Linked DNA regions of Kluyveromyces lactis. The protein of the gene in region 1 interacts with the protein of each later gene in a biochemical or structural test. Links are inferred from orthologs where the notes say so. Each region holds a gene or a part of one and is shown on either strand. Other genes may lie near its edges.

The links.
Region 2: the proteins of RAP1 (region 1) and TAF5 form a complex in vitro, tested with the Saccharomyces cerevisiae proteins (2 studies listed by BioGRID, with this or other methods). The link is inferred for Kluyveromyces lactis from reciprocal best matches to the Saccharomyces cerevisiae genes RAP1 and TAF5.

What each region holds. Positions count from the first base shown.
Region 1 is NC_006040.1:1,620,861-1,624,733, forward strand, and holds RAP1 (DNA-binding transcription factor RAP1), read right to left. Parts: upstream 2,517-3,873; coding exon 516-2,516; downstream 1-515. Other genes in the region: GTPase-activating protein GYP7, read left to right, coding at 1-362; PPN2 (putative serine/threonine-protein phosphatase), read right to left, coding at 3,116-3,873. UniProt on the Saccharomyces cerevisiae protein: Essential regulatory protein in yeast whose DNA-binding sites are found at three types of chromosomal elements: promoters, silencers, and telomeres.
Region 2 is NC_006041.1:2,087,349-2,091,317, forward strand, and holds TAF5 (chromatin modification protein), read left to right. Parts: upstream 1-1,167; coding exon 1,168-3,648; downstream 3,649-3,969. Other genes in the region: GPI2 (phosphatidylinositol N-acetylglucosaminyltransferase), read right to left, coding at 3,836-3,969. UniProt on the Saccharomyces cerevisiae protein: Functions as a component of both the DNA-binding general transcription initiation factor complex TFIID and the transcription coactivator SAGA complex.

The DNA.
Region 1 (3,873 bases):
TGTTGGCAATATTACAAAAACACAGCGATGTCGTCGTTTCTCAATTAACAGAGTTTGACGACGTGTTAAAATATTTCAATGATTTGAGAAACAGCATGGATTGGTCTGATATCATGATAAGAAGCGAACTTCTTTTTATAAAGTTTCAGAAAATGATTGAAGTTCTCGAAAGAGAGGAAGAACTAATAAGCAAGAGGACTACAAGTACAGGGTATAATGGACATGAAATACCGCTCACGAGCGAAGCGGAAGATCCCCCGTTACATCATCCATCGCTTATAAGTGAAAATTTGAAAGAATTATTATCAAAAGAACTTGTGATACAAAAGGAAGGGCCCCGCAGCAAGGACTCAATAAAATAGTACATTATGTTTCTGCTCATAAATATGATCGATACATTACATATAAAGTATGATAATTTCATGTCAAAGACTGACAACTGCGACCAAAATCGGTATATTATAATGAAAGTAGGGAAATGTTAGTTACCTAAGTGAGACAACAAGAGTGTTTATTCACACTAGATTGTTCTCTTGGAACCTTATCCTCATTTGCATTCTAGCAATACCATGTTTCTTTTCTAGCATCTTCATTCCATCTGGATTCTTTGATCTTAAGATCACATCATCCTCCTTCGTCCATATACCGGGGACATTTTGCGGAAGATGTACTCCATATTTGAATGATGTCAGAATGTATCTTGGAAACAATGAGATATCACCAGTTAAAGCAGTTAGGACAGATGTAGCGTATTTCTTTCTGATACCGCACTCAACGTCAAGATCATGAACAAGGACATCTGCTTGTGACTCATCATATTCCCTAGTAATAATCTCTTCCAACTTTTGTATGAACTCCTTGGTAGATCTGAAATTGAAAAAGGTATGATCAAAGAAATCATCATTATCAGCGAGCTTGGGTGGGAAAGGTATTGAATCAAAATCATAGTTATCATACTCTTCATGTTCCAAAGCCACTTGATGACGAATTCTTTCCGCGACATCATCAGCATACAATGAACGTGCTTGCTCTTCTTGTTGTGTTTCAGCTGCGTGCAAATCACGCCTAATACCATCTATTAGATCGAATGCATCTGATTCTAAGAAGAAATCATTCAAACTGGTATCTGTTGATTGCTGAGTACCACCTTCGGTAGATCTCTTACTCTTTTTTAGGGTCGTATTATAGTTTCCGGGTGATGGTCCTTCTCTCTTGGGTCTGTTGGTCATATTTTTGATAGACTCAGGTTCTATACCTTCTTCCATGCATTTCTCATAGTATGAAATGTATGAATCAATACCATAAGGCAGAATAAATTTACGGAAACGATCCCTCCATGCATTTTCTGAATGGGTTGGTACTTCAAGTGCGAATAATTTGAAAAATTCACGAGACAATGGTCCTCGGCGGTCATTTACAGTATACTTTTCGAAAGAAGGTACTTCTGATGGATCAATTTCTGTATTCATAACTAATTGTCGTTTCGCGACAATGTTAGGTTCATCATCTTCAGCGATCAAGCTTGCTCCTGTATCAGGGTCTCTTTGAAAAGCATCTCTGTAAAACTGTTTTTTCACAGCAACCGCCAAATTATAATCTTCTTCACTTGTAAATTTCCTCTTTAATCCATTCGGTAGAATGTCTGTTTTGATTAGATTTCCATCCTGGTCCCTTACCAATTTACCATCTTCATCGACTTGATAAACGAATTCTAATCTCTTCGATAAATAGACTCTAAATCTATGTCTGATAGAATTCCCAGTATGATTAGGGACATAATGTGAGATTTCATCGTATAATGTGTGTGTGGTTCTCTTAGTGGGGTTCTTCCTGACAACATCAAGGATGAATTCATCCTCTTCTTTAGTGAATGAGGATTTATTATGACTTGAACTTGCTTGCTCATGTAAAATAAGATCATTGGCATCATCTACATCTGTGTGGGTCAATTGTTGCTGTTGGTCATGAGAAGCTATTTCGTCATCCTTGGAAGACATTTTCACTTCTGGGGACGAATCAGAATCCATTTCTCTCTGGCCCCGAGTATTCTCGGAATCAATCGACTCGTTGATCCCTGTTGCTATCTTGACTGCAGCTCTTGTTACGTCAGAGCCAGGAAGATCGGATAGCTGACTACCAATGTTATATTCATCAGAGATGGAGTTAGAATCGAACCGAACAAACCCGGAAGACTCAGGTTTACCCAAGTAATCATGGACGTTTAAAAGTGTACCTGCATCAATACAATCTAAAATGTAAGATGGATGCACAAATATTCTATAGTCCTCATCATACCTCTTGGAAACAAAATATGCTGCTTCCCATTCTCTCGAACTCTTCTCTGGAGCCTCTATTAAGACTGCCCCACCGTTATTGCGAACTGCATTGCCCAAAGCTTCCATGTCGTTGATCAAAGGGTCAATGAAAAACGAGACTCCATCAAAAACACCTACATCTTCTTTTATTTGAACCGATGGGGAATCCAAGGCTGTGTCAAAATCATCTGCATGTGACATCTTCCTTCGTTGGTTTTGTATTGCTAAATGAGTAAAGGGTATACGTGGATTCGCCAATGTAGAGACAGCTTCTCTCTTTAACGCATTCGACTCAAGTCAAGTGAATAATATTATCTAAACAGTCAGGCGGCAGTTTCCCGTTGATTGTTACCTTATTTTAACTGAACCAAACGATAGAAATATAACCAATGAGCAAACAATGAAAGGTAGCACAATGAACAAAACAAGACCCGCGGTGCTGTAAATATCTTTACTCTGAGTGAACTTGCTTTGTCTCTCACTTTTGTAGCTGACGCAACTCTTAACTACTTCGCGTGTGCGTTAAAGACTTGTTTTGGTTACGTTTGTTTACACTGAATTCCGGATTTCCTAAATGTCGTGTTTGTTCGTAATCTCTGGGTGCTGGCCAGCCATCCTTTGTTTTTTTTTTTTGAATGCTTCCTCAAATTCAATTATTGATGCTTTATCATCACAGAGGAAAAGATGCAACATTCATTTAGTTCGAGTCAGGGTAACACATCGATAAACTCTTTCTATATGTAGTCTTTATATATGTATGGGCACATAATGTGCGTGTATCTGAGATATTGTGGGTACTTTCAGTCTTGACAAGAGATTTGATGCATAATGTGGTTGTATTCTTTCGTCTTATGGTTCCAAACGTATTCAAGAGCAGTCAATTTGTTACCATTGTAGCAAGCAGAATCCAAACCTTTTGTGTTTGGACGAATATTTAGACCTTTAGAAGAATCATGGCCATAAATCACTTTAATCTTATTGTGTATCGAATATTTCTTCTTATCTAAAGGGTTCCAAAGATGATACCATCGTGTAGCGTTCTCGAATTTTTGTCTTGTAGTATGAGAGTGATCATTTACGTCGACGTATTTCATATCGGTAATTTCTTTCAATGGAGGATTTCCTAAATGATCTGGAAGAACACCGGCATGAACTGCTACAAGAGTGAAATTGTCGTATAGTGGATCCTGTAACTCCCACATAGCTCCACACTTAGCTGCCAATCGAGCAAGATTGTCCCAACCCAATTCTCTTGCTAAACGGCGATGATTCTTGTTGATGGATGGTAAGTCTGGCAGGAAGTCTTCTGAGGAGAATTTGATTTTGATCAATTTCCTTTTAGTTAATGATATAGGGTTTAACAATGCATACAAAATTCTCAATTCGTTGTTGCCAAGAACACATTTCACGTCATAACCTACATCATCGTTTAATATTATTTGTTCCACAAGTCGGTTTGAATTTGGTCCCTTTGAAATAAAATCACCCAAAAAAACCACAGTGGTATTAGAATCTGGTTTCACTTTGTCTTCCATCAACTGCTCATATTTATGATACA
Region 2 (3,969 bases), on another chromosome or scaffold:
TACCCTGATTTCTGCACTAGAAACAAACGCTTTTTTGGCAAATCTAAATCGACGTACAATAGGAAAGATTATCCTACTCACAGACCTACTGATTCACTCACGCAGTGACTCAACGGCGTATGGCTTTTCTATAGAAGAAGCAGCTGGCGTTTTAGAACGGTTTGCTAGTGTATCTGATGGGCCTTGCGATGAGATGGAGCAACGTTTGACGATGGAAAGACAAGTATCAGAACTGAGAAGAAGGCGAATTCCTTTAATTTTCCAACTTTCGTGCTTGAATTCTTGTTTTTTTTCCCAACTTCACCGTTTCATTGCTGTTCAACTTCGTCTCCTGACATTAGTGGAACCCCAATGGGATTATTTTTACATGAACCGGGTAACGAAATAGTAAAATAAGGGCAACGTGACTTATAATTTCTGTTATATTACAGACGCGGCACGCATTACCTCCAATTGCCACGTCAAATGAAGGTACCCCCGTAGTATGTACATTGGTAACTGGCATCCCGCAAAATAAGCATCCCTTCTTTGGAAGTTGAAAAACACGAATCCAGATCCAATTACTGGACTCCTACCCCTGGATGGAAAAACGAAAAGGAAGTCATTTGTGGGGGGTATGGCTTTGGCATCGTGAAATAGGGATCTTCATTTACCCACCCAAGGCCACTGCAAAATTCCCGACCCTTTAAAGCCTCTCCCCACTGTTTCTCTGTACACATATATTTTATACTGGGTTCTCTAGATATGTAGCTTAACTGCGTTCTGCGAGTAAAAATTAAAATAAAGTTCGAATCGAAGTCTAAAAACGTGCTGTGGACTCCGGGGCTGTTCAACCTGTTACCCGGAGATGTACTGAAAAGATAATTCTTGAATCCGTAAAACGTGACCTTTAATTCAGATCTCTAAATGCCAGTTACTTTGTGTCTGAGAGTAGTTTCCAGGTTGAAAGTTGAATATGGAAAAAAATAAAACTGAAAAATGTGAATGAATAAGTAAACAAATAAACAGCAAATGATTGCTAAATCATTGCCTTAGCAAGCTTGAACTATACCAGTACTTGAGCTTAGGAGTAAGCTGAATAAGGAACTAGGTATACTTGCTTAGCCTTTTAAAAAAAAAAAGCGTGAAAGAGAAGAACCTCTTAGCACAGTTTCCGGCTTGCTTAATATGTCTTCGAACGGCAAACAACAGGGAAACAAGGCAGGCGATGCAGCTGGGGGAGCGTCAGGAGCCACGGCTCCCGGTGCAGGCGGAAGTAGTGGCAATGGAAATAGTAGTGCGGCCGGAAATGCTAGCGCTAATGCCAATGCTGGCGGTAGCGGTGCCAGTGGGAATGCACCGGCAGCTTCTAAACCGGGGTTTTCAGCGTCAGATTTGAACCGCATCGTTTTGGAATATTTGAATAAGAAGGGGTATCACAGAACGGAACAGATGCTTCGTGCTGAATCGTCACGTACTTTGACGCCTCCAAATAAAAACGCTGCTGCTTCTAACACAATCCCTGCCTCGTCTGCATCAGCCACTGCGATTACAGGAAGTACTACCACTGCAAAACCTGTTTCAAATCCTTCGATGCCCTTGAAAAGAGATAACAACGGCCAATTGATAAAACCGCAACAGGTGACACCCTTGCACTATTTTAGAGCTTACTCAATGTTGAAAAATTGGATCGATTCGTCTTTAGAATTGTACAAACCTGAGCTATCACGTATCATATACCCGATTTTCATTTACGTTTTTTTACAGTTGGTCATCAAGGACCCCTTACAAGCGAGAAGATTCTTTGACAAGTATTCTGTCGATTACAAAGCCCTTCATGGATCAGAAATTAACCGATTATTCAGTGTCAACTCAGTAGATCACATCAAGGAAAATGAGTTGGCTCAAGGTTTCCAAACCAATAAATATAAGATCACAATCTCAAGAACTACTTTGAACCTTTTGTTGTATTTCTTGAACGAAAACGAAAGTGTGGGAGGATCTTTGTTGATTTCCATCATAAACCAAAACTTGGATCCAAATATCGTAGATGTTGTCAAATCTGAGGATATTCTCACCGACGGGATCAAAGATATCTCAACCGGTGATATTGATGTTGATACGTATAACTCGGTACCTGTGAAGTTAGGACCGTATCCAAAGGACGAAGAGTTCACCAAGGAAGTAGAGATTGAGTTGCAGAAAAAAGATGAACAAGAGGCAGCTGAGAATAAGGATAAACCTGTCGGTAAGACATTAGTTGAGGAATATAGAGAAATGAACGGTAATCAGAACAAACCAGAGGGCACTGAAAAAGCTGATGATAACACCGTTAAGGAAGAAAATGAAAATAAGGAACCTGAAGCTGAAGAGGGTGGAGAAGAAGTCGATGCAACAGCAGATACAGAAGAGAAAGGCACTCCTACACTTAGTGTCGAATCATCGGCTGCTGAAAGAAAGAAAAGAGACTCAAAGAATAAAGACGAGGAAGAAAAACCAGAGGCTTCAATTGGATCTATGATGGAATCACCAGCAAAGGATTCGTTGCCGCTACCGGTAAAAACAACTTTAGATCTAAAGATGGAAATTCAAAAAGTAAGGGAGAGTAGAGATTCCATCCAATTGAAAAACCTACAAACTTCTGCACCAAGTGTGTGTATGTACACTTTCCACAACACTAATGGTAATATGACTTGCGTAGAATTTAGTGATGATGCTAGACTAACTGCAGCTGGTTTCCAAGACAGTACAATTAAGGTATGGTACCTTGATGGATCACCGCTACAGTCGATCCTCCCATCCAAAGCTAAAGACCAATCGAACTCTGCTACTTTGGTAGGACACAGCGGACCAGTTTATTCCGTTGCATTCAGCCCGGATAACAGGTACTTACTTAGCGCATCTGAAGATAAAACTGTCAGACTTTGGTCTTTAGATACGTTCACTTGCCTAGTGTGTTACAAAGGCCATAACCATCCAGTATGGTACGTCAAGTTTTCTCCACTTGGCCATTATTTCATCACCGCTTCACATGATCAAACGGCTAGACTATGGTCTTGTGATCATATCTATCCGTTGAGAATTTTCTCAGGTCATCTAAATGACGTGGATTGTAGCACTTTCCATCCAAATGGTTGCTATGTTTTCACTGGTTCCAGCGACAAAACGTGCCGTATGTGGGATATTCAAACAGGTGATTCTGTTAGACTGTTTTTGGGACATACATCACCAGTCACCGCACTTGAAGTATCGCCTGACGGTAGGTGGTTAACTACGGGCAGTGAGGATGGCACAATTATCGTATGGGATATTGGTACTGGTAAAAGAATCAAACAGATGAAGGGTCACGGTAAGAATCCTATCTATTCCATAACTTTTAACAAAGAAGGTAACTGTCTAGTAACAGGTGGTGCGGATCAAAGTGTTAGAGTTTGGGATATAAAGAGGTTTACAAACGAGCCTGGAATGGAGCCGGAACAACAATTCAACACGTATTCAGGAGATATGGAACTCAGTGTAAATAACGATATCAAAGAATTCGGACGTAGGCGGGCAGTAATACCAACTCAGGATTTGATGGCTTCGTTCCATACAAAGAAAACAGCAATTCACAAAGTAAAATTCACAAGAACGAACCTAGTTTTGGCTGGTGGTGCATTTATTGAGTAAATGCGATTACTTTACTCAGCCAGATAAGGGTCGTTTATTCGACATATCTAGTAGTTGTCCAATTGTAATAAATAAAAAAAAAGAGAATGCGCTTTATCTTTATATTATTTACAATGAGTACGTATATTTTATGTGCATTGATATCAATGCAGTCAATGAAATGTAAATGTTAACAGAATCCTAATAACTAATCTAATATTGGTTTTTCAGCGTCCCACTGCTGTAAAATCGGATGTCCTTTATAATAGTAGCTTTCCCAGTGGATATAGTAATGAGGGATTCCAAATAATAGTAACAAAGATGATATTCCCAAAGGTATCG